Callithrix jacchus: one gene and its partners. The protein of the gene in region 1 purifies or fractionates together with the protein of each later gene. This does not show direct contact. Links are inferred from orthologs where the notes say so. Each region holds a gene or a part of one and is shown in the gene's direction. Other genes may lie near its edges.

What was found.
Region 2: the proteins of EXOC2 (region 1) and EXOC7 fractionate together in Homo sapiens (co-fractionation; 4 studies listed by BioGRID, with this or other methods). This does not show direct contact. The link is inferred for Callithrix jacchus from reciprocal best matches to the Homo sapiens genes EXOC2 and EXOC7.
Region 3: the proteins of EXOC2 (region 1) and EXOC3 purify together in Homo sapiens (affinity purification with mass spectrometry; 6 studies listed by BioGRID and IntAct, counting the BioPlex papers as one, with this or other methods). This does not show direct contact. The link is inferred for Callithrix jacchus from reciprocal best matches to the Homo sapiens genes EXOC2 and EXOC3.
Region 4: the proteins of EXOC2 (region 1) and EXOC6 purify together in Homo sapiens (affinity purification with mass spectrometry; 5 studies listed by BioGRID and IntAct, counting the BioPlex papers as one, with this or other methods). This does not show direct contact. The link is inferred for Callithrix jacchus from reciprocal best matches to the Homo sapiens genes EXOC2 and EXOC6.

What each region holds. Positions count from the first base shown.
Region 1 is NC_133505.1:31,115,633-31,122,628, forward strand, and holds part of EXOC2 (exocyst complex component 2), read left to right. Parts: intron 1-3,579; coding exon 3,580-3,725; intron 3,726-3,863; coding exon 3,864-3,945; intron 3,946-4,698; coding exon 4,699-4,801; intron 4,802-6,996. UniProt on the Homo sapiens protein: Component of the exocyst complex involved in the docking of exocytic vesicles with fusion sites on the plasma membrane.
Region 2 is NC_133506.1:131,986,342-131,993,337, reverse strand, and holds part of EXOC7 (exocyst complex component 7), read left to right. Parts: intron 1-535; coding exon 536-601; intron 602-883; coding exon 884-1,004; intron 1,005-1,278; coding exon 1,279-1,374; intron 1,375-4,346; coding exon 4,347-4,410; intron 4,411-4,634; coding exon 4,635-4,676; intron 4,677-4,783; coding exon 4,784-4,917; intron 4,918-5,161; coding exon 5,162-5,264; 3' UTR 5,265-6,242; coding exon of another isoform or gene 6,243-6,433; 3' UTR 6,434-6,844; coding exon of another isoform or gene 6,845-6,996. Other genes in the region: ligand-gated cation channel ZACN, read right to left, coding at 6,243-6,433, 6,845-6,996. UniProt on the Homo sapiens protein: Component of the exocyst complex involved in the docking of exocytic vesicles with fusion sites on the plasma membrane.
Region 3 is NC_133503.1:205,623,927-205,631,408, reverse strand, and holds the start of EXOC3 (exocyst complex component 3), read left to right. Parts: upstream 1-2,989; 5' UTR 2,990-3,216; intron 3,217-4,029; 5' UTR 4,030-4,426; intron 4,427-7,002; 5' UTR 7,003-7,058; coding exon 7,059-7,202; intron 7,203-7,482. UniProt on the Homo sapiens protein: Component of the exocyst complex involved in the docking of exocytic vesicles with fusion sites on the plasma membrane.
Region 4 is NC_133513.1:85,428,760-85,436,376, forward strand, and holds the start of EXOC6 (exocyst complex component 6), read left to right. Parts: upstream 1-2,497; 5' UTR 2,498-2,661; intron 2,662-2,967; 5' UTR 2,968-3,095; intron 3,096-3,556; 5' UTR 3,557-3,623; coding exon 3,624-3,708; intron 3,709-7,617. UniProt on the Homo sapiens protein: Component of the exocyst complex involved in the docking of exocytic vesicles with fusion sites on the plasma membrane.

The sequences.
Region 1 (6,996 bases):
GCAAAATGAAAGAAGAAAGCTAAGGGTTTAGAACACCAGGGAATATTGAGAAGAGCCAGGATGTGGAAAAGAAACTGACATTTACTTAGTGGCTGCCTGGCAAATATTTCACAACAGGCATTCAAAAAAAACGAAAGAAAAGAAAGAAAATTAATCCTAATATTAACATTTCCCAGCCACCAAGTTGTAAATACTCCCATTAGGGTTGGTTTCAAGCTGCCAGCTCAACTTAAATGTGAAGAGATGCTGACTGTTGCTCTTGAGAGGTGTATGTGCTGACGTCAGCTCTTTCCTCATTTCCCCCAGGTTCCAGTTCCGCGTACTCCACATAGAGTGTCAGGGATGGTACTGTTAACGATACTGTCCATGTAGCATTGTTATGGTATAGCCAGCAGCTATCTAGTCATTTTCTGGTCTGTTGAAATTGAGGTAGTTAGGTCTCTTTTGTAGTCCTGGTTTTGCTGTGAGTTTGTACATTTTAGAGTTACCCTAATTTTCCAGGAGCGCTAATGTTTCATTACCTAATCTCATTAAACTTGCTTATTCCTGGGATAAATTGTGCTGTGGTGGGTGGAGCAGCTGGTGATGGGGTGTTACTTCTATCCTGCCTCTGACCTCCCCAGTTCCCATCAAGAGGAGAGCACAGATTAGAAATCACTTCGGTGATCTGTCTCAAGTGTCAGTACCAAGGAAGGGACCAAATGGTCACTTTGAAATAAGAGAAAGCATAATATTTACTTTAAATGAACATGCTTGAAATTAGAAGACACCATTAGAATTACAGGATTGGGTTTTCTAGACGACAGGAGTTCCTGCACATATAAAAATGTTTTTTTCCATTGTTAAGGATGTGAGATCACTGGGCAGGTATGAGTTCCACTGATTGATGTGTAATGCCACCTGGACTTTCCTTCCCATCTTGTACTATAGGAAAATTACACTGTTCTACAGACCCGACTACACTGGCGGCAGCCACAGTTTCTGCAACAGCATTGCTGTTAGTTCTTGCAGTTCCTGTGTGACTGAGACAGTTGAGAGTCATTGTCCAAACTCACTAGTGTTGGAGACCTTTTTTTTTTTTTTTTTGAGACGGAGTTTCGCTCTTGTTACCCAGGCTGGAGTGCAATGGCGCAATCTCGGCTCACCGCAACCTCCGCCTCCTGGGCTCAGGCAATACTCCTGCCTCAGCCTCCTGAGTAGCTGGGATTACAGGCACGCGCCACCATGCCCAGCTAATTTTTTGTATTTTTAGTAGAGACGGGGTTTCACCATGTTGACCTGGATGGTCTCAATCTCTTGACCTTGTGATCCACCCGTCTCGGCCTCCCAAAGTGCTGGGATTACAGGCGTGAGCCACCGCGCCCGGCCCTGGAGACCATCTTTGGGTGACGAGAAAGGACCAATTTCCAGACCTTGGTGTGGCCAAGGCTGGCAAATGTCGATGAAGGTTTGCTCTGTAGCCTATGAGGCCAAAGTCATGGCCATCCACTCCAGTTAGACTTGTTCTGTGGTTGTACACTGATATTCAGACCCCACCAGCTGCCTTAAAATTGGGTGTTCTTGGTGTGAGAATGTGTGTGGATTAGCACATGGGGATTTTTATGAGATGACCTTTGTTGATGCCTTTCTGGTGGCATTATCTGTGACATCAGCCTCACATATGAAGAGCACCCCTTTTCTTTAATAGTTTTATTTTCTTATTAGTAGCCCTAGAGAAGAAAGACATAAAATGCATTTTGTGAGCTGCTGGTGATTTTTATCTATTTGCACAAATGTTGGTTTCACTGCTCTCATGTATTTTATTACTGAATATATTATCTAATAATCAGAATTAGGAACTTTTATTGTGAATACAATAACATTTACAACAGAATAATAATGTATAGACAGATGTTATCTCTAAAAATTATGATCTCATAACTTATAATTTCTCAAGTATTTGCATAAATTAAAATTCTCCACATATAAATACATATATTTTGGCATACATAAACTTGAAATTTTATAGTTTTAATTTCTGCATATAAATTTTTCTATATGTCTATATTTTATTTACTTATGAGTAGGTTTTCTTGCTGCACTTGTTTTCATACTTTTTAGAGGAGTTAAAGTTAATAGTTGATAATGTTTTACCCCTTTAAAAATAAAAGGAGAAAAATCTAAATTTGAGCTCACATACTTTTTGCCCCAAATTTCATTATACTAAAAACAAGTAAAAAATTTTTTTCAAATGGCGCTTGGTTATTTAACATCCAAACCTAACATATAAGTAATTAACCTTTCAAAAACATTCAGTCCCCTTTACATATCTATTCATTTATGAGCCTCAATTCATGAAGTTTTTATTTTTTAAATGATAAATACTTTAAAATAATTTTCTTTGACAAAAAAAGTTTTAACTCTAATCAGATTTCAAATATTAATTTAGACTCCATTATATGGTTTGGTGGCAAGAAGGTAATGTATTTTTTCTCATCTTATAATAGAAATGTAACATTCTACATTAAATAGCATGTGGTGCAAACAGTTATCTTGACAAAACAAAGTTTTTATATCAGGCCTTTAAAATTTCAACAGAATTTAAACATTATTTAGATAAAACAATCATGTTACAAAGACGACTTTTAACAGGATCAGGCCACCCACAGTGTGCACTAGAGAATATGGCATGCAAGCCACCCAGTGAGACTGAGGCAATTTTTTCATCTTTGCTTAAAGTATAGTCACTAGACCAGATAATGTAGAAACTTTTTACAAGCAGTGATCAAACAACCGAAAACAGTTTATCTTTTTTCTCTCCTTTCGTTGTGACTAATTAAAACTAATTTACAAGTTGCAAAACTATTTTTGTACACAGCAAATTTTCCTTTAGATAAAGGTGCTCTTTCATTACAGTGATTCATTTAGTTTGGGATCTTTTAGGTAAAAATAAAAAGACTTAGGAAATATGCAGTTCATGTATACTTTTATAAGAATTAGCTGATTGAAAAAATATTCATGATGGTGCCTTGACGTTTATTATTTGTAAATTGCTTATGTAATTTTCTTTGCTTGCTACATAGAGATGATTCTGGCAAGAAATAGAATTAGTTTTAAATAGTTCTTTTGTTCAACTTTTCTGAGAATGATTTTTCTTGTTTTGTTTATTATCCCATATGTAGATACTGAGTCCACAGAATTTAGCTCATGTACATGTGTATGCACACACATGGATATCTGTGTGTTTTTCTCCATTGTATGAAGTTCTGAAATAACCTAGGTGCCCACAATTGCTACAAAATTTAGAAGATTAACGAAAATAAATGTAGGTTCACATTAGAAAATTTATTTGGCCATGGTAAATATGTTTGTTTTTATATTGGATACCATTCTTAACATATGAAAAGACTTAGGCAAAATGGAAATTTTATTTTAGCAAACTATAGAAGATCTCTGATATAGCTAACCTTAAAAACCTTCTATTGAGTTTTAATGTAAAGCTATAATAACAGTCTTAATATTTTGTTTCTAGTTCCCAGTTACACATTTTCTGATTAAAATCAGCTTTCATCTAAGTCTCCTTTCCTCCCTTTAAAATAGGAGCAAGTAATACTGCGGACACATTGTTTCAAGAAGTATTAGGTCGGAAAGACAAGGCAGATTCCACTAGAAATGCACTCAATGTGCTTCAGCGATTTAAGTTTCTTTTCAACCTTCCTCTAAATATTGAAAGGAATATTCAAAAGGTAGAGTCCATATTTATTTATGTACATATGGTTATAGATGTCATATATTTTTAAGATATTTAAAAATGTTTTTTATATTAACCAAATGTCTTCATTTTGCATTACTACCAGTTTTCAAAATGTTTCTTTATTTTAAAGGGTGATTATGATGTGGTTATTAATGATTATGAAAAGGCCAAGTCACTATTTGGGAAAACGGAGGTGCAAGTTTTCAAGAAATGTAAGATTTGTTTATTACTTTTAGATCTTCTACTTTCCTTTTATAGGAAGAATGTGGAATGTGTTCTGCAAAGAATGTTATAAGAGTTTTAGTTTTTGTTTATATGGGGCTCTTTCTAACAATTACTTCAAAAATAACAGTATGACTTTTCTTGTTTGATATATAGTGAAAATGAAAACTACAACGATAGGTTAGTCTAGGACGTTCTTTGCCATTTGTTTGTCATAACGCTATTAAAAACTCTTAGTTTACTGGAAAGAATCAATGACAAATATTTTGTAGAGTTGGAAACTTACATTTTAATCTTACGTCTTCAGAGAGACCAGTAGACTTACGAATTCTAACTCATTTAAAGGAAACACAACAACTTTTGAAATTATTTTTAATGCTAGCGTTACAGAAAAATAGAAAAGTTTAAAATGCTCTTTGGTTAAAGCCTTATCCACCAGGAGAAATATCACAGGGCCTTATTAAATTCAAAAATGAAAGTTGTAAGGACTCAGAAAACTAAATTTTTTTTTATTGTGGTAAAATGCAGTGAAATGTTACCTGTTAGAGGTCCGTGAGTTGCGACAAATGCATACACCCTTGTAACCTACACCCGAGATAGTGTTCTGATCATTCTAGACAGGGCCCTGGGGCCTCTATCTTAATCAGCCTCTACCCCACAAAAGCAACTACTATTTTGCTTTCTGAAATTTGATTTTAAATTTCCATTCTGTAAATCTTGCATATTCTTTTCTTTTTAAATAGATTATGCTGAAGTAGAAACAAGGATTGAAGCTTTAAGAGAATTACTTCTGGATAAATTGCTTGAGACACCATCAACCTTACATGACCAAAAACGTTACATAAGGTAAATCTTCTGCAAAAGTTTTGTGGAATCACATATATCTCTTTGGTACTAGATGTAACCCTTAAGGCTAATTTGAGGGACTTTAGGATATTGATGAAATGGTGAAAGGGAAGACAAATAGCAGAAATTTAGGGGTACCTGGAGTAGGATACCAAAATTCTTTTGAATACTAATGGCCTTGGGAGTAGTTATTGAGTTACTTTTTAAGAAAACTCTGCCATTTGGGAGAAAGGAAAAGTAGCCCGTTTGCTTAGTTACCTCTTCCTCCTGCTGAGCAAGGGTTACCTCACCTAGTGGGATGGTTTGGGTACCCACATTTTGTGAAATTGGGGCTCCTTGTGTGGCTTAAAGCTGAATACTGTCACACACTGGATGGGAAATGCATTATGCCACAAGAATGTGTTGTTGTTTAACAGCAGAGTAAATCCTGCAAGGTTTTAGCCTTGAATAGCTGTTTGACTTCCAAGCCTTCAGTGTCAGTGATAGAGAAATAAAAGTCACTAAGTGAGCATACTTTAAAAAAAAAATTACAGTAATGTTAAGAGTGGTAAATGTCACAGGATATGAAGAGAAGGACTTATAGAAAACTGGTATACATAATAGGACTAGCTGTTGACTTTGGGCAACTAACTTGAGTTCTGTTTTTTAGTTTCTTCATCTGTGAAATTGACCTGGTACTCAAATCTGCATCTCAGGATAGTTGCAAAGATAATCAGAAATACATTTAAGGATTTAATACAGCACTGAGCACATAAAATGTCATCAGAAAATTTTATATACATGTAGTTTATGTCAGGATTTGGAGACAAAGCATATAAAGTTTAGATTTTTTATATCTGTATTAAAAATATTAATTTCATTTTCTACTGGGATTTTTTGAGTATGGCCTTTGTTCTCAGAACAGGTTATTTTACAGATTTAATGGTTTTCCTCTTGAATTCATGAAGTTTATTGAATATTCAGTGGTTATAAAATGATAGACAGTGTATTTATGAATTTAGCTGTGGTCCCCATGTGACCTTTGAAAATAATGTCTCAGGAACTGGCATGGTGGCTCACATCTGTGATTCCAGCACTTTGGGAGGCCAAGGCAGGATTGCTTGAGTCTATAAGAGTTTAAGACTAGCCTGGGCAACATAATGAAACCTCGTCTCTACAAAAAAAATCAAAAATTAACCAGATGTGGGGATGCACACCTGTCATCACAGCTACTCAGGAGACTGAGGCAGTAGGATCTCTTGAGCCCAGGGGTTTGAGGCTGCAGTGAGATGTGATCATGCCACTGTACTCGACTCTGGGTGACAGCAAGATCCTGTCTCTGGGAAAAAAAAAAAAAAAAAAGACTGTCTTGGAGAGAGGGTTTGGCCTGAAAGCTGCTGTGTATGCAGTTGTGAACAGGGAAAGGATCTATAAGGCGTACGGCAGGAGTATGAGCCATTGTCACTGGTAGCACACTAGTATTGCCCAGGAGGAAGCAAGCAGAGGCACTGGCGGTGGGATAAAGAGAGGGCTGTGTGATTGCATGCTGCCACCCCTGCACGTGTGTTGCAAGCTCCGGCACTGGGCAAGATGTGTTCTGCATATCTACTCTAATCCTAATCACCGCCATGAAAGGATGCTTGTGTGGTGCCCATTGTACAGGTAAAGACACTTAAGCTTGCCCAGCACACACAGTGACAAGGTGTGGCTCTAGAGCCTACCCTTGCTTCTCTCTAAGCTGCCTCCATAAGAAAGAATGTATATGGGGGATTTTCCTGGTTTGCAGACTCCTAGAAATTTAAACCTGGAAATAAACCACACTTCAGTTATCCAACTGCTTCATTTCTACCTAGAAAGCTACAGAGTTCCAGGGAGGTTGAGCGTTGTGTCCAGGACACGCAGCTGGGTAGTGTCAGACGTCCTGAGGCTGCTGTTTTCCCCTCTGTTCCTTCACTGTGTGTGCTTTGTGTATTTCTAACCGGTTTACACTTGTTATTTTAAACCTGCCCAGTAATGTGTTAAATATTATTGAATGTGCAAATTCTTTATGTTGTGAGTTACTGTAACTCATGTGTAGTTGTTATGACTATTTAACTTACTGGATATCCTTTAAAAGGTGGTGGTGGCAAAAAAGATTCTTTTAAATAGCCTTTTAACTACCTTTTCTCCTGTCATCTTAAAGGCAAAAGAGCAGAAATATAAACAAGTCAACAATA
Region 2 (6,996 bases), on another chromosome or scaffold:
CACCTGCTGGGGTCAGCGCCCTGAATACACCCCACAGGCTCGTCCGGCCTCCCTGCCTTGCCATCCCCCTCAGCCTTCCACACTGTGGAGGCCAGAGCTTCCTCTGTTCAGTAGGGCCTGGTAGAGGGGGATGTTGGAAATGTAGGGAGAGGTGGAGAGACTGTGGGGAGCTCATACTAAGCCTCTGCTGTTGGCAAAAGGGAAGAGGCAGCCTTGTAGAAACTACCTGGGGTGGGCTGGGGGCAGGGAGGGGGCAGGGCGCTGGCATCTCACTCTTGTCCTGCCCACCCTCCTGCTGAACTGGACCAGCTCCTTGGCCACACCACCCCATCATAGAGGGCAGCTCTGGGTTCCAAAATGTCCAGGGCTGGTGCTTCCTGCAGCAGGGGCTTCCCTGTGACTCAGCAGGTAGCCGGCTCTGCCCAATGAAGCCCAGGGCCTGTCTCTGTGCCCCCTCAGACTGCTGCATGGGCTGGGGGAAGAGCCATTGAGGGTCTTGGCTGCTGCCACTGCAATAACAGGCCTTCTCTCACAGAGACCAGTTCTTCTGCCACCAGCTACAGCTCCGAGTTCAGCAAGCGGCTGCTAAGTACCTATATCTGTGAGTGTTCTCCCGGGCGGACCAGCAGCCCTGCTGCCGGCATGCCCTGCCTTTCCCTTCCTTCTATCTGTGCTCTCTGGCTACTCCCAGAGCCCTCTGCTAAGTGCCATCTGACCTTTGGGACCACAACCTGACCTCTAGTTCAGAGGCCGAGGGGAGTTGGGCTAAGGCCTTCTGAAGCAGGATGAGGAGCAATGGATAAGGGTGGGTTAGCGGGTCCTGGGATGGGGTCATTTGGGTCAAACCACCATGGTGGGGATGGCCCCACTTTTCCCTATGCAGGTAAAGTGCTGGGCAACCTGCAGTTGAACCTGCTGAGCAAGTCCAAGGTCTATGAGGACCCCGCTCTGAGCGCCATCTTCTTGCACAACAACTACAATTACATCCTCAAGTCCCTGGAGAAGTAAGTGGCCTGCAAGAGCGAGTCTGTGGCTCTCACCTTCCCCTCAGCTGTGCAGCTGTGCCAGCCCCTGCCCTCCTGGGCTCCCTCTCTTGTGGTCGGGAGGGGAGGGGGTACTTCAGTCTCCTCCATCCCAGGACCCAGAAGGTGGGAGTGCTGCTGCTGTAGAGTTCATGGAGTTTGGGGTGCAATGGGAGGCCCCCCCAGGCATTGCTACAGCCTTTGCACCTAGGTGCCAATCCTGTCCTTCTCTTCTCTGTCCCCCGCCCCCACCCAGGTCCGAGCTGATCCAGCTGGTAGCAGTGACGCAGAAGACTGCCGAGCGTTCCTACCGGGAGCACATCGAGCAGCAGGTCCAGACCTACCAGCGCAGGTGAGAGGCTGGCCTCGCCCTGCCCTGCATGGAACCCCAGCCGTCTCTGTCCTCACCCCAACCCTGTGCCACCAACCAGTCTTCCTTCTCAGCACCTCAGGACAGAGGGATCAGTCATGGGGAACTGCCCTCTGGACCCTAATCTTCCACTTGGTTTTTAATCAAACTCATGGGGTGGAGAGAGAAGCCCCCTCGTCTGCAACTACCTGCTCCTAGAGGCCCACTGTGGCCAGCCACTTTAGAGGGGAGCCTACCAAGTGTCAAGGCCAAGAGTAATTGAAGAGCCGGCTGTCACAGATGTGGGTCATGTTTAGCCTAGGAGAAGCTCAGGGTTAGGAGAGCACTTGAGCTTGGCTGGGCGTTGCTCTGTGGGGATCTCTGTGCTTCCCTGGTCCTCTTTCTTCCTGGCTCTGTGGGGATCTCTGTGCTTCCCTGGTCCTCTTTCTTCCTGGCTCTGTGGGGATCTCTGCGCTTCTCTGGTCCTCTTCCTGGCTCTGTGGGGATCTCTGTGCTTCCCTGGTCCTCTTTCTTCCTGGCTCTGTGGGGATCTCTGTGCTTCCCTGGTCCTCTTTCTTCCTGGCTCTGTGGGGGTCTCTGCGCTTCCCTGGTCCTCTTTCTTCCTGGCTCTGTGGGGATCTCTGCGCTTCCCTGGTCCTCTTTCTTCCTGGCTCTGTGGGGATCTCTGCGCTTCCCTGGTCCTCTTTCTTCCTGGCTCTGTGGGGATCTCTGCGCTTCCCTGGTCCTCTTTCTTCCTGGCTCTGTGGGGATCTCTGCGCTTCTCTGGTCCTCTTTCTTCCTGGCTCTGTGGGGATCTCTGTGCTTCTCTGGTCCTCTTTCTTCCTGGCTCTGTGGGGGTCTCTGCGCTTTGCTGGTCCTCTTTCTTCCTGGCTCTGTGGGGGTCTCTGCGCTTCTCTGGTCCTCTTTCTTCCTGGCTCTGTGGGGGTCTCTGTGCTTCCCTGGTCCTCTTTCTTCCTGGCTCTGTGGGGATCTCTGTGCTTCTCTGGTCCACTTCCTGGCTCTGTGGGGATCTCTATGCTTCTCTGGTCCTCTTCCTGGCTCTGTGGGGATCTCTGCGCTTCTGTGGTCCTCTTTCTTCCTGGCTCTGTGGGGGTCTCTGCGCTTCTCTGGTCCTCTTTCTTCCTGGTTCTGTGGAGATCTCTGCACTTCTCTGGTCCTCTTTCTTCCTGGCTCTGTGGGGATCTCTGTGCTTCTCTGGTTCTCTTCCTGGCTCTGTGGGGATCTCTGCGCTTCTGTGGTCCTCTTTCTTCCTGGCTCTGTGGGGGTCTCTGCGCTTCTCTGGTCCTCTTTCTTCCTGGTTCTGTGGGGATCTCTGCACTTCTCTGGTCCTCTTTCTTCCTGGCTCTGTGGGGATCTCTGTGCTTCCGTGGTCCTCTTTCTTCCTGGCTCTGTGGGGGTCTCTGCGCTTCGCTGGTCCTCTTTCTTCCTGGCTCTGTGGGGATCTCTGTGCTTCTCTGGTCCTCTTTCTTCCTGGCTCTGTGGGGATCTCTGCGCTTCTCTGGTCCTCTTTCTTCCTGGCTCTGTGGGGATCTCTGTGCTTCTCTGGTCCTCTTTCTTCCTGGCTCTGTGGGGATCTCTGTGCTTCTCTGGTCCTCTTTCTTCCTGGCTCTGTGGGGATCTCTGTGCTTCTCTGGTCCTCCTTCTGGCTCTGTGGGGATCTCTGTGCTTCCCTGGTCCTCTTTCTTCCTGGCTCTGTGGGGATCTCTGTGCTTCTCTGGTCCTCTTTCTTCCTGGCTCTGTGGGGATCTCTGTGCTTCTCTGGTCCTCTTTCTTCCTGGCTCTGTGGGGATCTCTGTGCTTCCCTGGTCCTCTTTCTTCCTGGTTCTGTGGGGGTCTCTGCGCTTCCCTGGTCCTCTTTCTTCCTGGCTCTGTGGGGATCTCTGCGCTTCTCTGGTCCTCTTTCTTCCTGGCTCTGTGGGGATCTCTGCGCTTCTCTGGTCCTCTTTCTTCCTGGCTCTGTGGGGATCTCTATGCTTCTCTGGTCCTCTTCCTGGCTCTGTGGGGATCGCTGTGCTTCTCTGGTCCTCTTTCTTCCTGGCTCTGTGGGGGTCTCTGTGCTTCCCTGGTCCTCTTTCTTCCTGGCTCTGTGGGGGTCTCTGTGCTTCCCTGGTCCTCTTTCTTCCTGGCTCTGTGGGGGTCTCTGTGCTTCCCTGGTCCTCTTTCTTCCTGGCTCTGTGGGGGTCTCTGTGCTTCCCTGGTCCTCTTTCTTCCTGGCTCTGTGGGGGTCTCTGTGCTTCTCTGGTCCTCTTTCTTCCTGGCTCTGTTTCTTCCCTTTGAGTGTGTCTCCCTCTTCCCTCTTGTTTATCTCCCCTCCACTCACTCCTTTCTTTCCCATCTGTTTCTCCGTCTTAATTTGCCATGATACTGATGTGAAATATAGTTGACAGTATTTGTTCAGTTTATTGAACACTCAAATGTTTCCTTATGTTTTCTCAATGAGTGACCAGTTTAAACATTTTCTCTTTTGTTTGTTTTTTTTGTTTTTGTTTTTTGTTTTTTTGAGACAGAGTTTCACTCTTGTCACCCCGGCTGGAGTCCAATGGCGCAGCCTTGGCTCACTGCAACCTCTGCCTCCCGGGTTCAAGTGATTCTCCTGCCTCAGCCTCCCAGGTAACTGGGATTACAGGCATGCAACACCATACCCAGCTAATTTAGCATTTTTAGTAGAGATGGGGTTTCTCCATGTTGGCCAGTCTGGTCTCGAACCTCTGACCTCAGGTGATCTGCCTGCCTCAGCATCCCAAATTGCTGGGATTATAGGTGAGAGCCACTGCGTCTGGGCTGTTTAAACATTTTCTATTCCCAGGAAGAGAATCTGTTGTTTTGCTTAGTTGTGACCCACATCCCTTCCTACCACCAACCACTAAGTAGATCCAGAGATTTGGCAAATGACACAAACCAGGCCACCGAGGCAGGCCGTCCTCTGCCCTCATGCTTCTCTTTCTGTCCGGCAGTTGGTTAAAGGTGACCGATTACATCGCAGAGAAGAATCTACCTGTGTTCCAGCCGGGAGTCAAGGTGGGCTCAAGGCCTGGGCTGGGAATGGGTGTTTAGCAGACTGGATACTTTGTTGTATCTCTGGGAAAAGAGGACAAGCGTCCCTCTGGGATCAGAGAGCAAAGGATGTGTATGGCCATCAGGGCACAGGAGAGAAGCCCAGGCCAAGGGCGTTTGGAACAGAGTGCGGGCAGGCTGCCCTGCTCTGAACTGAGCTTTCTCTACTATCTCTCCTGGCTTCCCAGCTCCGGGACAAGGAGCGTCAGATTATCAAGGAGCGTTTTAAGGTGAGTTGAGGTCCTCTCCTTTCCACTGCTTGCTGCTGTTTTTGAGACAACACAGACCCAAAGTTTTGTCTCTGGGTCCCTTCCTTTTTCACCTTTTTGGTGGCCAGGGCTTCAATGATGGCCTTGAAGAACTATGCAAAATCCAGAAGGCCTGGGCTATTCCGGACATGGAGCAGAGGGACAGGATTCGCCAGGCCCAGAAGACCATTGTTAAGGAGACCTATGGGGCCTTTCTGCAGAAGTGAGCCCCTTCCCAGCCTGTGCTGCCCACGGCCACAGTGGGCTCTTTGAGCTCCTCTTCCTCAAGGGCAAAAGGAAAAGGGTGACAGGTTTAGGCCGCAGATCCAGCACCCTGGGCTTTGGGGCGGGGCTGGACAGGGAATCACTCTGGGTCACACCTTCCGAGACTCTCAGGAGTGCCTTAGGCTGAGGGTGGTGCTGGGGAGGGTCGGCTTCCCTGTCCCCTGACGGCAGTGCCCCCTCAGGTTCGGCAGTGTGCCCTTCACCAAGAACCCGGAGAAGTACATCAAGTACGGTGTGGAGCAGGTGGGCGACATGATCGATCGCCTTTTCGACACCTCTGCCTGAGCCTGCTGCTAGCCCTGCCTGTTTCCACCAGACTGACATGTCATTGGACAGATAAACCAGTGTTAAGTTGCCTCTGGCCCCTTTGGGACAGAGTCCTATCTCCAACACCCCATCCAGGAGCCATGTCCCTGAGCCATCTAGTCCTGGGTTCCACTCTTTCCCCACACCCTATGTTCCCAACCAAACCAGCACTCTCCTGGAAGCCTGGAGTCCCTTCATACCTTGGCTTTGGTGACCCTGATGGCTTCTGAAACAGGAAGGGAGAGAAGGAAGACAGGCCTGTGCCCACTGCTGCCCCACATGTACCAAGAGCAGGAGGGCAGCATGGCCCTACCTCCAGCCTAGGTCAGAGGTGGGGCCAGAGAACTCCTCCGACAGCCCAGAAATGTGGTGGGGCTCAGAGGGCCAGAGCCCCTGGAGAAGGCAGGCAGCATTGACCCCTCTCTTGGATTTAGTGCAGAAAACACATTCCCACTCGCCCACAGGCCTGAGGTCTGGGACCTTTCCATCTCCCAGGAGTCCCCAAGGTGGCCGGGGTGCGGGCCTGCTCACTGGCCATTCCCCCTGGAGTCCAGCACATTGCAGGAGGCATTTGGAGGAGTTTCGCTCCACCCTCTGCAGCCTCCCTCAGACCTGTGTCTCCGGTCCCCAGCCTCAGTGCCTCCTGGCCCAGGGCCAAGCAGTCATGTTGCAGAAGGAGCAGTTAGACTGCCTGCCTGGGAGACAGGGACAATGGGCAAAAGGTCAGGAGCAAAGTAGAGGTCGGAAGCAAAAAATAGGACTCCACCTATTTAGGACGAGAATGAAGACTGCCCCTTGAGGCACACTTGCACATGGGGATGGGTTTATTTCACACTTTGCTTGTATGCTGGCGGAGGGAGAGCTCAGGGTGGCTTTGTCCAGAGACCCTGTCATGGCCTCCCCCAGCCATGGGACGGCAAACGTCACCCTAAGGTGTGCAGCCCAGGCCCTGCCCTGTTATGGTCTAGGCCTCCTGCCATGGGGTGCAGCTTCTCCAGGGGCTGGGTCAGACTTGCACGCTGCCCACATCCAAATGCCAGCAAAGATGAATTGGCAGCACAGCACCCCAGCCACATATACCAGGAAGAAGATGCGGTCAGCAGTCTCAGGCCAGCTCCTCTGTGACCCCTTTACTCCCCTGGGGGGCTCTGTGGGGAAAGAGGCAGGGAAAGAAGTTGTTCTTCAGGGTCCCCCCAACATGATCAGAAGAGTGAACCCCAGGGGTCATCAGCCTATCTTTCCCTTTCTTAGATTCCCAGGTGATATACATTTGGGTCTGACCCATTTCAGGCCATCTTCAGTTGAAGAAACCCCTCTCAGACCGTGGAAGGTATGGGGTTATCAGGGCATTGAGGTCACCTGGGACTAAAGGGAGGCTAAGCTTGCTCCCTGCCCCAGACCTGTTTCTTCCAAGGGAGGAGGACATGATGGTGACCAGGGACAGAAAAGCCAGCAGGGTAAATGCAGGGAGCCTCTACACATGCCTGGAGCCCCTCACCCTCACCCCAGCCCTAGGTGTGCTCCTAGGCCTCATTCCTTACCCCCCAGCCCCTGCCTACCTTCAGGATGAGGCCCTGAGTTGCCATGTTCTCGATGTTCCCCTCTTAGGGCTGGGCTGGGGCTGCTCTTGGCCCCAAAGCTGCCCTTGGCCAGCAGCCCAGCCAGCAGCACAGTCTCCATGGTGCTGAGGAAGAGCAGCAGCAGCAGAATG
Region 3 (7,482 bases), on another chromosome or scaffold:
CAGTTTCTACTGGAAGAAAAAAGTTTTCAATACCTAGACTAACGTGTTAAATTTTTAAAACGTATGCACTATAACTGCAGCTTTCTCAGTGCCTTTCGGAAGCTTTCAAATACTTTTTGTACTGTGGTTTGTATTAAATTTGCAATATTGATATAAAATATGACATGCTAGTACATGTTTAACATAAATTGAAATGTCTGCATTTTCCTAATGAAGTCACTTTATTTCCTTTAAAGGGTGTGCTGGTTAATTTACCTTCTAAAGCAGCCTTTCACCACAAAAGGCAGCAATAAAAATAAAAACTCTAGAGCTACAAGCCTCCCGAAAGAGGAGGAAGTACCTGCCGTTTCCCTGCTGCTGCCCAGAAGGTCTAGGCCCCTCTCCCCTGTCACTGAGGGTCAGGGACCCTCCCAGGTGCTCTCAGGACGCCCCAGAACTGACCTGTTAAGTGAGGAAGGTAGAGCTGAGGGCATTGTGGGTTGGGGGCCAGGTGGTGTCCACCCTGCCCCATGCACAACAGGCCCATGGCAAGGGGGCGGCAGGGTCACTGGCCCAGGCAGATTGTGGCCAGATGCCTCCTCCCCGAATGCCATAAAAAAATTGCTGGGGCCTCCTCAAGCACAGATGGCAGCCCAAGGCCCATGGAACTGCTTCTGTTTCCTCTCAGGCACCTTTAGAGTCCTAGCAGCCCCTGCCAGGCCTCCTTTGCACCCTGTCCTGGTCACTGGTGTAAGACTCCCATGTCCTCCCCGGAGACCAGGCCAGCCCTCCCATCGGTGGCTCCATACCTTAGCCCATCCCTCCCCCCATGCCCTCTCCTCTGTGGCCTCTGGCAGATGGAGTTCCCACATTTTCACTCCTCACCCCCAGTCTGGCTTCTGCTGAGTGAGCCTGCATGGAGTTAGGATGAACACAATTTTTTTTTTTTTTTTGAGATGGAGTATCACTCTGTCACCCAGGCTGGAGTACAGTGGTGTGATCTTGGCTCACTGCAGCCTCCACCTCCCAGGTTCAAGTGATTCCCCCACCTCAGCCTCCAGAGTAGCTGGGACTACAGGCATCCACCACCATGTCCGGATAATTTTTGTATTTTTAGTAAAGGCTGGGTTTCACCATGTTGGCCAGGCTGGTCTCAAACTCCTGGCCTCATGTGATCAGCCCACCTCAGCCTCCCAAAGTGCTGGAATTATAGATGTGAGCCTAATTGCCGGACACATGCAATTTCATCTCACCAGGCGCTGCCCAGAAGAGGGGCTTCACCCACTTGGTCTCCCTCCTACCTCCCCATCTCCCGGGCTCCCATCCTACCCAGGCCTGGCACCTGTGTGGACAGACATTTTCAGTCCTGGGCTTCTGAAGGGTTGAAACGGCAGTTTTATGTGTGATTCGTTCACGCAGCATTTTTTAATCCCTGTTAAATATCAGGCCCTGCCGCAGTGCTGCAAACACAATCGGGAGAAAACATGCAGACGTCAGTGGTATCCCAGAGCTGGTGTCTGCAGGTGTGTGCTGTGCCGTGTGTGCGTCCGTGCAAGGGGTGCAGGCAGCTGAACGTGACCATGAGAACCCTGTCAACTTTGTGACGCAGGGAGGGGCCAGTGCTTTGCAGGTGCACAGAGCTGGGGTTGGGGGTGCCCCAGGTCTTTGGGGCAGTTTTATGCGGGACATATGCAGGGCTGGAGCTGAACGGCGAGTTGGGGAGGCAGCATGGCCACAGTGAGATCTGAGTGACAACACAGCAGGGCGTGGGTGGAGACGCCCTGGTCGGGGCTCAAAGGCTTGAGCTGAGCCCCGTGAGGAGGGTGCAGGGACGAGGTCTCCCTGAGGAAGGCCAAGGGAGGCAGCTTATTCCCCGGAGCCAAAGGCTCTTGTCCTTTACCCATTTCTTGCTGCACTTGTTTCCCTTTTGGATTAATCTGCAGGAGTTCCGCTTCTACTCTGGATAGCAATCTTTTGTCAGTTACAGATGTTGACAAGGTTTTCCCTCAGTCTGTGGCTTGGCTTCTCACTTAAGGATTTAAAAAATATATCCCACGAGAGTTAAAAATTTTAGTTTAGCAAATGTCACATCGCCACACCAGCTTCTCAGGCCTCGCTGGCCCAGAAGGGAAAAGCCTCCAGCTCTAATCGTGTTTCTCGATGCTTCAGATGCTCTCCTATGAATGTGTCAGCTTCTGACGCACTTACCTGTGTTCACGTTACGGACACATTTGAACACAGGGTCCTCCTCATTGCCTGAATTTTCTTTTTTCTTTTTTTTTTTTGAGACGGAGTTTCGCTCTTGTTACCCAGGCTGGAGTGCAATGGCGCCATCTCAGCTCACCACAGCCTCCACCTCCAGGATTCAGGCAATTCTCCTGCCTCAGCCTCCTGAGTAGCTGGGACTACAGGCGCACCACCATGCCCAGCTAATTTTTGTATTTTTAGTAGAGACGGGGTTTCACCATGTTGACCAGGATGGTCTCGATCTCTTGACCTCGTGATCCACCGCCTCGGCCTCCCAAAGCGCTGGGATTACAGGCCTGAGCCACCGCGCCCGGCCCATTGCCTGAATTTTCTATTTCTGCAGTGGCTAACCTTCATTTGCGCACTAAGAAGGTCTACGGAGGAGCCAAGCACGGTCTCCATTCTCCCAGAGCAGGGCCAGGGCTGCGGGCGCGCCGGTGCCTCCCTCCCTCCCGCTCAAGTCCGCTCCGGCCCAGGTGGAGGAGGGTCTCTCCGGCAAGGTCCCCGGGTCCGCTTCCGCCGAGCGCTGAGCTTCCCTGGCCCACCCTTTCACTGCGGACGCACCGCCCAGAGCACCTGCGCATTACTCGGAAGTCTCCGTCCGCCTCCCGGCTGCTGGAGCCTTAGCTTCAACCTCCGTCCCGCTTCGGGACCTGCCGCTACCTCACGCCCTACGCCACCGCCGCCTGCGAGTCCCGCACTCAGGACCCGGCTCTCGTCCTTCCGGCGCCTCGACGGAAGCGGAAGTTCCCGCGCGCCGTCCACTTCCGGCCGGGACTCCCGAGGCGGCGGCGGCGCAGAGGGTGAGGCAGCTACAGGTGCCGACGGCCCTCGGCTCCCCGGGCGGTGGTCGCCGTCTTTCATCCTCGCTCTCCCAGTCTCTGGCTTCCGCGGGGGCGCGTAGGGGGAGGCCGGGCCGAGGCCCGGAGGGCGGGGAGGCGGTTCCGGACCCCGTGGTGTATCCTGCTCGTGCGAGTGTCCTCGGCGCAGGTGCCCTTTTGGCGGAGGTGTCCCCCAGGCGCAGGTGTCCCCCCCCAGGCGCAGGTGTCCCACCCCAGGCGCAGGTGTCCCCCCCCAGGCGCAGGTGTCCCACCCCAGGCGCAGGTGTCCCCCCCCCCAGGCACAGGTGGCCTTCCTGGTACAGGTGTCCCTCCTGGCACAGGTGTCCTCCCAGTTGCAGGGGTACCCCCAGCGGAGCTGTCCCCTCCGTGAGGTGCCCCCAGAACAGGTGTTCCCCCCCAGTGCAGGTGTCCCTTCTGTGAAGTGTCCCCTTGGTGAGGTGCTCCCAAGCACAGGTGTTCCCCTAAGCGCAGGTGTCCCCTCTGTGAAGTGTCCACAGCACAGGTGTTCCCCTCAACACAGGTGTCCCCTCTGTGAAGTGTCACCTCGGCGAGGTGCCCGTCAGCACAGGTGTCCCCTCTGTGAGGTGTCCCCTGGGCGAGGTACCCCTCAGCCCAGGTGTTCCCCTCCATGCAGGTGTCCCTTCCGGTGGAGGTGTCTGCCTGGCAGAGGTGTCACCCCCACTTCTTGCGAGGTGTTCCCCTCAGCACAGGTGTCCTCCGGTGAGGTGCCCCCCCCCCACCCAGCGTAGTTGTCCCCCTGGGTGCTGATGTTCCCTTCAGTGGGGTGTCTCGCCCTCTGTGGAGTCTCACGACTGAGCCAGCACCAGGGGAAGGCAGTCAGAAGGGCCCTAGTAGGGGTCGGACCTGGTCTCTGTTTATGGCCTCCGAGTTCCTCTTTTGCTTCTGTGACCCAATCTTCAGGCTGGGATGGAAACCTCTGTGGTGTGTTTTTTACCTTCAGATTTTCGCTTTTCCCACATGAGTAGCTTTGTTGTGAATCCAAGGTGAGCTCTGCTGCACTAGCTCTCCACCCACATCACCTTGGCTCCCGACTGTCCTTTACCTGCACCGTGACAGACTCGACTCCAGCTTTGGGATGGGTCCAGCCACCTCACTGTGCGCACCAGCAGAATGGCTGGATGTCCACTTCCTGGGCTATTATCTAGCCCTAGGATCCAGATCACACAGGCTTTCATGTCAGTGGAAATGCTGACGATAATGTCCGAACAAAGGAAGAAAGCGAAAGCACGAACCCACAAAGTCATAGGAGCGGTGGGACCTTCGCTTAAAGAGAAACCCAAGGGGGAAGAACAAAGGCTGCAAGGAAACACGCCCGGTTGGACAGCTGCCGCGGGATGGTGGGATTTGAGGGGAGCTGCCGCGGGATGGTGGGATTTGAGGGGAGCTGCCCCGGGATGGTGGGATTTGAGGGGAGCTGCCCCTGGATGATGGGATTTGAGGGGAGCTGCCCCTGGATGATGGGATTTGAGGGGAGCTGCCCCTGGATGATGGGATTTGAGGGGAGCTGCCCCTGGATGATGGGATTTGAGGGGAGCTGCCCCTGGATGATGGGATTTGAGGGGAGCTGCCCCTGGATGATGGGATTTGAGGGGAGCTGCCCCGGGATGGTGGGATTTGAGGGGAGCTGCCGCGGGATGGTGGGATTTGAGGGGAGCTGCCCCTGGATGATGGGATTTGAGGGGAGCTGCCCCGGGATGGTGGGATTTGAGGGGAGCTGCCGCGGGATGGTGGGATTTGAGGGGAGCTGCCCCGGGATGGTGGGATTTGAGGGGAGCTGCCGCGGGATGGTGGGATTTGAGGGGAGCTGCCCCGGGATGGTGGGATTTGAGGGGAGCTGCCCCTGGATGATGGGATTTGAGGGGAGCTGCCTCTGGATGATGGGATTTGAGGGGAGCTGCCCCTGGATGATGGGATTTGAGGGGAGCTGCCCCTGGATGATGGGATTTGAGGGGAGCTGCCCCTGGATGATGGGATTTGAGGGGAGCTGCCCCTGGATGATGGGATTTGAGGGGAGCTGCCCCGGGATGGTGGGATTTGAGGGGAGCTGCCGCGGGATGGTGGGATTTGAGGGGAGCTGCCCCTGGATGATGGGATTTGAGGGGAGCTGCCCCGGGATGGTGGGATTTGAGGGGAGCTGCCGCGGGATGGTGGGATTTGAGGGGAGCTGCCCCTGGATGGTGGGATTTGAGGGGAGCTGCCCCTGGATGGTGGGATTTGAGGGGAGCTGCCCCTGGATGATGGGATTTGAGGGGAGCTGCCCCTGGATGTTGGGATTTGAGGGGAGCTGCCCCTGGATGATGGGATTTGAGGGGAGCTGCCCCTGGATGGTGGGATTTGAGGGGAGCTGCCGCGGGATGGTGGGATTTGAGGGGAGCTGCCGCGGGATGGTGGGATTTGAGGGGAGCTGCCCCCGGATGATGGGATTTGAGGGGAGCTGCCCCCGGATGGTGGGATTTGAGGGGAGCTGCCCCCGGATGGTGGGATTTGAGGGGAGCTGCCCCCGGATGGTGGGATTTGAGGGGAGCTGCCCCTGGATGATGGGATTTGAGGGGAGCTGCCGCGGGATGGTGGGATTTGAGGGGAGCTGCCCCCGGATGGTGGGATTTGAGGGGAGCTGCCCCCGGATGATGGGATTTGAGGGGAGCTGCCCGTCGATGGTGGGATTTGAGGGGAGCTGCCCCTGGATGTTGGGATTTAAGGGGAGCTGTTCCTGGATGGTGTTATTTGAGGGGAGCTGCCCCTGGATGTTGGGATTTGAGGGGAGCTGCCGCGGGATGGTGGGATTTGAGGGGAGCTGCCCCCGGATGGTGGGATTTGAGGGGAGCTGCCCCTGTATGTTGGGATTTAAGGGGAGCTGTTCCTGGATGATGGGATTTGAGGGGAGCTGCTCCTGGATGGTGGGATTTGAGGGGAGCTGCTCCCGGATGGTGGGATTTGAGGGGAGTCACCCCTGAGTGGTGAGATTTCAGAGGAGTTGTCTCTGGCGTCTTCGTATCTTTGTCCTGATTTTCTACATTGGAATGCCTAATCTCATCATGAGAAAATAAAGAGAAAGGAAAAGTTGCAATGTAGCTCCAGATGAAACAGGAGAAGAGAGGTGTCTGAAAGCATGTGGGCATGGAGAATGAAAAATTCCAGGAGAAGGTGGATATTTTTAATATTCATGAAGATGAAAACAATAGCCAAAGTCAAGGGGAACAGGTGTCTCAGATTCCTGCATTGACCAGATGCTCACCAGGCAGCCCTCTTAGCTCCCGAGGAGGACGATGGTGGTGTGAGCGTGGAAGGCAGGCTTGCCTGGCATCTGAGCACCTGTGGTCCTCACGAGATCTGCGCAAAGAGGGATGCATGATGTTTTCTAGGGCCGTTAAAAAGGGGGAGATGGGATTTTGGATGCCCAAGACAATGGTGACTTTTATAGGGGCTTGTGGGGCTTGTGCTGGGCTTCTGACTGTGGGGCCTGGTCGGGGGAGATGCCCATGCTGTACTTGTCTTCACTGAGTCCTGGTGCAGTTGCCCACAGGCCTGGCCAAGGTGTTGGGGAAAGGTGCAGTTGCCCACAGGCCTGGCCAAGGTGTTGGGGAAAGGCTCTGGAAAGGAGAAATTAGCCCTGTCTTGGGCAGAGATGTGCCTTGGAGTCTGACATCTACATGGTGGGTGGCCTGTGACCCACATCTAGAATCTTCCAAATGTCCCTGTCTCTCCTGCCCGCTCTTCTCTTAAAGGTATAACTTCCCATGTTTGGGTTACAAAGGTCCACTTATCTTAAGGAGTTCCTAATCCTAGTTCAGCTTTCCTTCAGGTTTTCTGGAGGAATGATCCCAAACGCTCCCCTTGTAGCTCCATTGTGAGCACCCGGTTGTCTGAGGGAGGTTTGTATCTAACATTCCTACCTTTCTAACAACCCCTGCAGTGCACACAGAATACCTCTAGCATGAACTGTGTGAGGATTCCACCTGCCTTTTGACCATGAAGGAGACAGACAGGGAGGCTGTTGCGACAGCAGTGCAGAGGGTTGCTGGGATGCTCCAGCGCCCCGACCAGCTGGACAAGGTGGAGCAGTACCGCAGGAGAGAAGCGCGGAAGAAGGCCTCCGTGGAGGCCAGACTGAAGGTGAGCAGAGCGATCACGGCCACCTGCCCCACTCCCGGCAGCACGGAGCCGTCTGTGTTGGGTCTCAGGTTCGCCGTGATGATTTTGCTGAACTAGCCTTTGTGGTGATGTGGGAGGAGCAGAGCTGGGTTTCTGGAGCAGTTATTTTCAGCAGTGTTTTACCCGTCAGTAGCTTTGCTGAGAAGACAGTGTGAATGGTGAAAACACCCAAAGGAACATCCTTTTAAATACCCTGAGGCTGGGCGCAGTGGCTCATGCCTGTAATCCCAGCACTTTATGA
Region 4 (7,617 bases), on another chromosome or scaffold:
ACTTGGAAGTTTGAAGATTTGGGTTGGTGTTTTAGTTCTTGGCCTCAACTCATTTGTAGGTCAAAGATGGTCTAGTTGAGCCACATGACCCCTTCCAGCTCCCAAATTCCCAACTCAATTCATGCCATCATTATTGTTCTCCCTATCCCCATGTCTCCTCAACCTTGGCACCCAAAGTAGCCACCCAGTGGGAGAGTTTCCTTTCCCATCAGCTGTGGGCTCCAAGCTCCAGACCCTGCCTAACAGATTACATCAAGGTTTCAAAGGTCATAATCCATCTCATCTGAAAAGGGGACTGTCTATATCAGACAGCTTGTGGACATAATATTGAATTAAAGTAATCCTGAGATCCATGTGTGTGTTTCACTTCTGGAGATAAACCCTGGTTAATGTTTATTCTTGAGAGTAACTGTATCATGACTGTTCAGCAAAGAAATACAGACTAATGTATTGATTGACACTAGAAAAGTCGAGGGGTAAAATCTAGTTTTAAAGTTGACAATTCCCTGAAACCAGGCTGCTTCCCAATTTCAAGCTTGTCCTAACTCTCTTCAAGTTGCTCCCACTCTGAATCTAAACATGTCCTTAAGAATCAAGAGCATGTTAACTGGAGGAGGTGCAGTATTCTCAGGACACAGGTAGGCATTCACTTTTCTGAAGTGCACCATTGCAGATTGCCAATGAAGATTTAGAAATTCCTCCTACGATCCAGGCATTTTTCATTTGTTTGTCTTTTGGCTATTTCATGTTTAAGCAGCATGTATGACCTTTACAGCACAACTCCTGTCTTGTTTTTAACTCTTTTTATCAGGAGATTCAACTTGAAAACGGTTATCATTTAGCAGAAAGACAAACAGAAAAGCACATTTTTGTAAGCAAAACGTTAATGATTGGAAGAATTGCCCTAATTTCACCATGACAGTGTGTGATTAATCCCCTGGGTCGTGTACTTATACTTTAAGTTATTCAGTTCATTGGTCTTTGATATTCAGAACCCTTTCTAACTTAATATGATATTGATTTTGTTGGATGATGTACTTTGACTCTTTAAACAACATCACTTTTAGAGATGACTAGTCTACTGTGTAGTATTTTATTTAGAGAACTATTGCATAACATTACTTTTTCTTACTTTTTATGGTTCTCTCAGGGTGAAAGCTGATAACACATCTTGTGGGAAAAGAGGAAACCATCTCTGATAGTGAAAGTACCTATTCTCTTTCAACTTTTCTGACAAGCTTTTGTGTGTGTGTGTGGTTTTCATTACTGTGAATATTCATCTTAGGGCATGATTGGGCAGGATAGGGATTTAAGAAAACTTATTTGGACTTGGGGAAAATGCATTTTGCTGGGGACAGAAGACACTAAAATTCCCATTCCAGATATATTGCCATGTGGAAATTGATGAACTCAAAATCTCCTGATTTTGATTTTTTTTCAAGATCTAATAATCAATGAGCCTTTAAATCCGTGGTTGGAGTTATTTATGTGACTACTGACAATATGGGACAGAATGTGAAAACCAAACAATCACCCAGGATGCTTCTAAATGACTGGGAGTTCAGGCCAGGTGCAGTGGCTCACACCTATAATCCCAACACTTTGGGAGGCTGAGGCGGGCAGATCACCTGAGGTCAGGAGTTTGGGACCAGCCTGGCCAACATGGTGAAATCCTGTCTCTACTAAAACGACAAAATTAGCAGGGTGTGGTGGCACGTGCCTGTAATCCCAGCTACTTGGGAGGCTGAGGCAGGAGAATCCCTTGAACCCGGCAGCGGAGGTTGCAGTGAGCCAAGATTATGCCACTGCACTCCAGCCTGAGCAACAGAGTAAGACTGTCTCAAAAAAAAAAAAAAAAAAAAAGAAAAAAGAAAAAAGACTAGGAGTTCAGTATTTTGTAGTCAAAATAATCACGTTGTACTGATATTTATTTTTCAGTCCATAGAGGTTTTAGGAAGTCCCATTTGGACTCTGTATATGTCTAATTTTTTCCCTTGACATGTATTTTTTTGTATTGTTGATAAACCCAAATAAGAAGCACTTTGGAGACTCCTCCTACTCACCCAAAGATCTGAGACCCCAGGTCCACAGAAAGAAGAGCAGCTACCCCTTCACATGTGGCTGTAGGAAAACCAGAATCACACCGTTGTGGATGCAAGCATGGCTCGCAGCAAGACAGATGGAATCCCTACCCCTCTCTTGCTGGCTGGGGCCCCGGGGGACAAACTCATCCTCAGCCTCCGTCCCTCAGTTCCTAGAGCGGAGCGTGGCTTCCCCGAGAGAAGGCGTCCGTCCCATGCACGCAGTGGGCCCGAGTGTCAGTCAGAAAAGCTAGACAGCCCCAGTGATTCCTTCTTTTGAGACAGCTCTTGGGTTCGCAGTTGCAGGCGGGAAACCTGCTCAGTCGGATGTACACAAATCTCTCTGGACAATACAGAGGGCTGCGGCAAGGGGACCTTGGAGCTGGCAGAGGCATTTCCTGTCTGCGGAGGATCTTGACTTTGGAGCATCCGGCCGTCGCCGCGAGCAGCCGAACGCTTTCCTGCGTTGCTACTTTAAAAAAAAAACAAAAAACAAAAAGAAGTCACTGCAAATATCCCGCGACTTTCCAGATGAAAGCCAATGAAGCCGCTTCCCACTTTAAAAACATTTGTTTAAAACGTATGTTCTATCCATTCCTTAGACTCCTTTTTATTTTGGAAGGGGAGTTTGGTATCCTTGAAAAACCATAAGTATTCAAAAATCTCATTCTCTCTGAAGTCAGCTTTTTAGATGAACAAGTACGGGAAAGAGTTAACGGCAGAGGGTCCCTCCTCTGCTGCTCGCAGACGCTTGCAGTAGGAGATGCTCATAACCTTGTTTGTGTTTTTCTATCGGGGTTTATGCCCTTCCATCCTCCTTCTCCTCCCCACTTTTCCTTCCTCATCTTATTCATTCCCTTTCTCCTTTCCCCTCCTTGCCTTTCAGGATTCCTCATCTTCATTCAGTTTACTTCCCCATTTAGAATGGAAAATGACTAATCTCCATTCTTTAGATGTCACTACTGGAGCCAAGATTTTCCTGAAATTTATGGAAATGTTCATCTTTTAGCTGAGGTGAGAATCCTAATTGAGGGGAATGTTGCTGGAGCCCTAATGCGTTGCTCCCATCCAGCCGGGGATAAATGTTTAATTTATTTTATTATTAAGCAATAATAATAACATAGGCTGGGACTGGTGGCTCACACCTGTAATCCCAGCACTTTGGGAGGCCGAGGCAGGCAGATCATTTGAGGTCAGGAATTTGAGACCAGTGTGGCCAACATGGTGAAACCTCACCTCTTCTAAAACAAATACAAAAATTATCCGGAAGTGGTGGCAGGTGCCTGTAATCCTAGCTACCCCGGAGGCTAAGGCAGAAGAATCACTTGAACCTGGGAGGCGGAGGTTGCAGTGAGCCGCTGCACTCCAGCCTGGGCCACAGAGTGGGACTCCATCTCAAATAAATAATAATAATAATAATAATAATAATGATAATGAGAACATAAATAGAAGAGTAATAATCCCTGTGTCCTAAGGTCAAGGCACTCAGTAGCACTGGAGTGTAACGGAGCTGACAGATCTGGAATAAGGGGTGAGCAGCACATGCTGTGGCAGGGACTCCCAACCAAAGAAAACGAAAAGGAATGGTGTTCCACGGAGAAGGACGGTCCTGTCCACAGGCCTGGAGGTGAGAGAGGGTGGGGAGTATGCATGACTGAACTCCAGAGATTCTGAATTTCAGAATTTTGAATCAGGGATTGCGGACCTAGGTTTGCTTTACCCACCACACAGTTATCTTTGTTTTTGCATTGGCACTTTCCTCTCTCTGGAACTCTCTTCCCCACCAGATATAGCCTCATGGCTTGCTCCCTCCTCTCCTTCAGACATGGCCTTCCCTTTGCCAGCCTTTTTGCGATGGCAACCTCCTCTTCCTATCCCCAACCACAATTTAATTTTTTCTATTTCACTTAATGCAATGGGATATAATATTTTTACTGCCTTATTATTTGTCTCTTCTTGCTGATATATGAACATCATGAGGGTAGGGATTTTTGTCTGTTTGGTTCACTGCTATGTATCTTCAGCCTGCCCTATTAAGCACTTGGTAAATATATGTTAAATTAATGAATTACTGAGCATGTACTATGTGCTGCTAAATATTATGCGAATCTTTCACTTGCTTTATATCATTTAATCATCAACGACCCTATGAAGTAGAGGCTGTTATCAACCTCATTTTCCAGATAAGGAAACTGTCACCGAGAAGTTACACCCAAAACCTCAATTACTATACCGGTCAATGTAATGAGAATTTCCTCACTGAATCGGTTGCACTCTTAAGAAGGTATCAAATCAAGTCTAATTCTAGCTGTAAGAAAAGAGTTGAGGTTTTTTTGCTTATCTTATTTAATCTTTTGCCTTGATTCAATCTAGCATTATATCTGGAAGGAATTATGATACAGCATCAGGTATAAGCAATTTCTGTGTATGTAACATATTATTCTATTACATTAGAAAACTAATAAGCTGAGTGAAGTATCATTTCTCCCTCAGTTTTCTGGGGGAAATGAGCATTATAAAATATATTTTATATCTTTCAAAGTGTTAAAAAAAAAAGTTGTCTGGGTGTGGTGTCTCATGCCTGTTATCCCAGCACTTTGAGAGGCCGAGGTGGTTAGATCACGAGATTGGGAGATTGAGACCATCCTGGCCAATATGGTAAAACTCTGTCTCTACTAAAAATACAAAAATTAGCTGGGTGTGGTGGTGTACTTCTGTAATCCCAGCTACTCTGGACACTGGAACGTCCGGAGTAGGAGAATCCCTGGAACCCAGGAGGTGGAGGTTGCAGTGAGCGGAGATAGCACCACTGCACTCTAGCCTGGCAACAGAGCAAAATTCTGTCTCAAAAACAAACAAAAAATGTTTTCCTCTGGTTCATGTTATTTGGTGTCGCAATTACATAAACTATTTAGTATAATTATGTTTATTCTTCATCTGGCCCATGGAGGCCTGTTCCACAGGGGACTCTGGCATCAACATGGCAGTGTGATGGCTTACGATTTGTGTCCCCTGCATCCAGCACTATGTTTGACCTGCCGTAAGCTTTTAATAAATATTGTACTACAGAATGAAAGTGAAAGCCATGTGCCCTTCCTCAAGGAGAGGAGAGCCATTTCCCTCCCTCCCCAAGCCCTGCACCCTCATTATACTTCCCATTCCTTGGCTACCAGAAACACAGCTTGCCTGGATGGCTTTGGGAGCACAGCAGAAAACAGTGGGTAGGGGCCATAAGTGCTACAGAGACACTTGGCAGGTGCCAACTTGGGCCACGGTGAGGGGAGGACATATTTAGGTCTATTTAAGGTTAAATAAGCACTAAAAGAAGATGTTCTCTGCCATCTTTTTACCAGCATAAATTTGAAGAGGAAGTGCTTCTGTGGTTTTATTGGCCATTTTTCCCTTTCACACTTGGCAATTTCATTCAATTTCCAGTTCACAATTCTCAATTTCCATCAAGAGTTTTATTTAAAATCTACCCAGTTTACTGGAAACAAAAACAAAAACAAAAACAAAAAACCCAACACTATTTGGAGTAGGCTGTGATCACTGCTATTTTTATCAGCATCATCTATTTAGAAAATGGAAGCAGGAAACCCAAATATTTTTAAGTGATTTCTGAAAGTATTTTATGAATTGCAAAGAAACGATTGTAGAAGGAACAGAAAGTGTATTTGCTTTACATGCTTTTTCAAATTTTTAACTTTCCTTAGCTGCGTATGGAATTTGCATTACTATAGACTTTCCATTAATTGTAGATTAGACCAGACTAATTCAATAAATGTTTAAAAAATGGACCCTGAGTGCAGGTTCAGACATCTGGAGGAAACGACTTGATGATACGGAGGTGGAAGGGAGTGAGAAGTTATGATGATGTATGGTGCTGTTGATTAGTTAATTGAAGGTAAAATTTTTAGCTTCACCAAGCAATTACCTGATCTCATTAAGGTCTTTAAAATCGCCTAAGTACCAATTTGCCTGAGGCAGCTGCCCCTTGTTTAGATGTTATTTTAGGCATTAAGAAAAACACAGTGCTTGTTTCTTCATAGAATAAAGATTAAAAAAAAAAAAAGAAAAAGAAAAACACAGTGTTAATAGTGACCAGGGAATTTATGCGTGCAATTTCTGGTGTATATTGTTCTGAATCTTAGCCATTATTCAGTATTATCCATCCTGTATAAACATGAGGCACTAAAATATACCGGCATTTTGTATGATGTTTTACTTTTCAAATGTATTTTAAAGCATCATATTTACAAGAGAGTTTTTTTTTTTTTACAAATGAAATTTGTAAAGATATATGGATTGTCAATTTTTTCAAGAAACTACTTCTAAAAGTATAACATATATATTTTAAAAGCTCACAAATCATAGGTGTGCAGCTTACAACATCACTATACTGTGTAACTGGAATCTATATCTTGAAATAGAACATTACCAGATCCCAAGGAGCTCTCTTTATGCCCCCTCTAGCTCACTATCCCCAACCTCACTCCAAGGGACTGCACTAACCCGATTCCAAATGGCATAGATTCATTTGCCAATTTTTGAACTTTACAAAAGTAAAATCCCACAGTATTTTCTTTTTCATCTCTCCTTCCTTTAGTTTTTAGGGTTTTTTTTTTTTCTTTTCGGAGACCGAGTCTCGCTTTGTCCCCCAGGCTGGAGTGCAGTGGCATAATCTTGGCTCATTGCAACCTCCACCTCCCAGGTTCAAGGAATTCTCCTGCCTGAGACTCCTGAGTAGCTGGAATTACAGGTGTCTGCCACCGTGCCTGGCAAATTTTTATATTTTTAATAGACATGGGGTTTCACCATGTTGGCCAGGCTGGTCTCAAACTACTGACCTCAAGTGATCTGCCTGCTTGGGCCTCCCAAAATGTTGGGATTACAGGTGTGAGCCACTGTGCCCGGCTGCCCATTCCTTTAGTTTTTTTGCTGGTAAAATTCATCCATGTTATGGTGTGATGTTGTTTGTTCATCCTCAATGCTGCATAGTAGTCCATTGTACGAATTTGCATGTCAGTTGAAATAATGCATCTAAATATAAAAACTGCACCATAAAATTTACATTTGAAAACAATGACACTGCTCACATTTTATTGGACTCCAAGACTCCTAAGTGGAGAGAAGGAAAGACAGCAGAAAGACCAGGAGCATCAGGCTGTCAAGAAACAAATTACTGAAACCTTTCACATATCAGAAGGGCTGGGAATATCAGTAACCAAAATATCACTTATTTATCTTACTCAGGGGGGTTAAATTAAAAAAAAAAATCACCTTGATTGGGTGCAATCACTCATGCCTATGATCCCAGCACTTTGGAAGGCTGAAGCATTTGGATCACTTGAGGTCAGGAGTTCGAGACCAACTTGACACCCGTCTCTACTAAAAGTATCAAAAAAAAAAAAAAAACCTAAAATATTAGCTGGGCATGGTGGCAAGTATCTGTAATCACAGCTACTCAGGAGCTGAGGCAGGAGAATTGCTTGAACCTGGGAGGCAGAGGTTGCAGTGAATTGAGATTACGCCAATG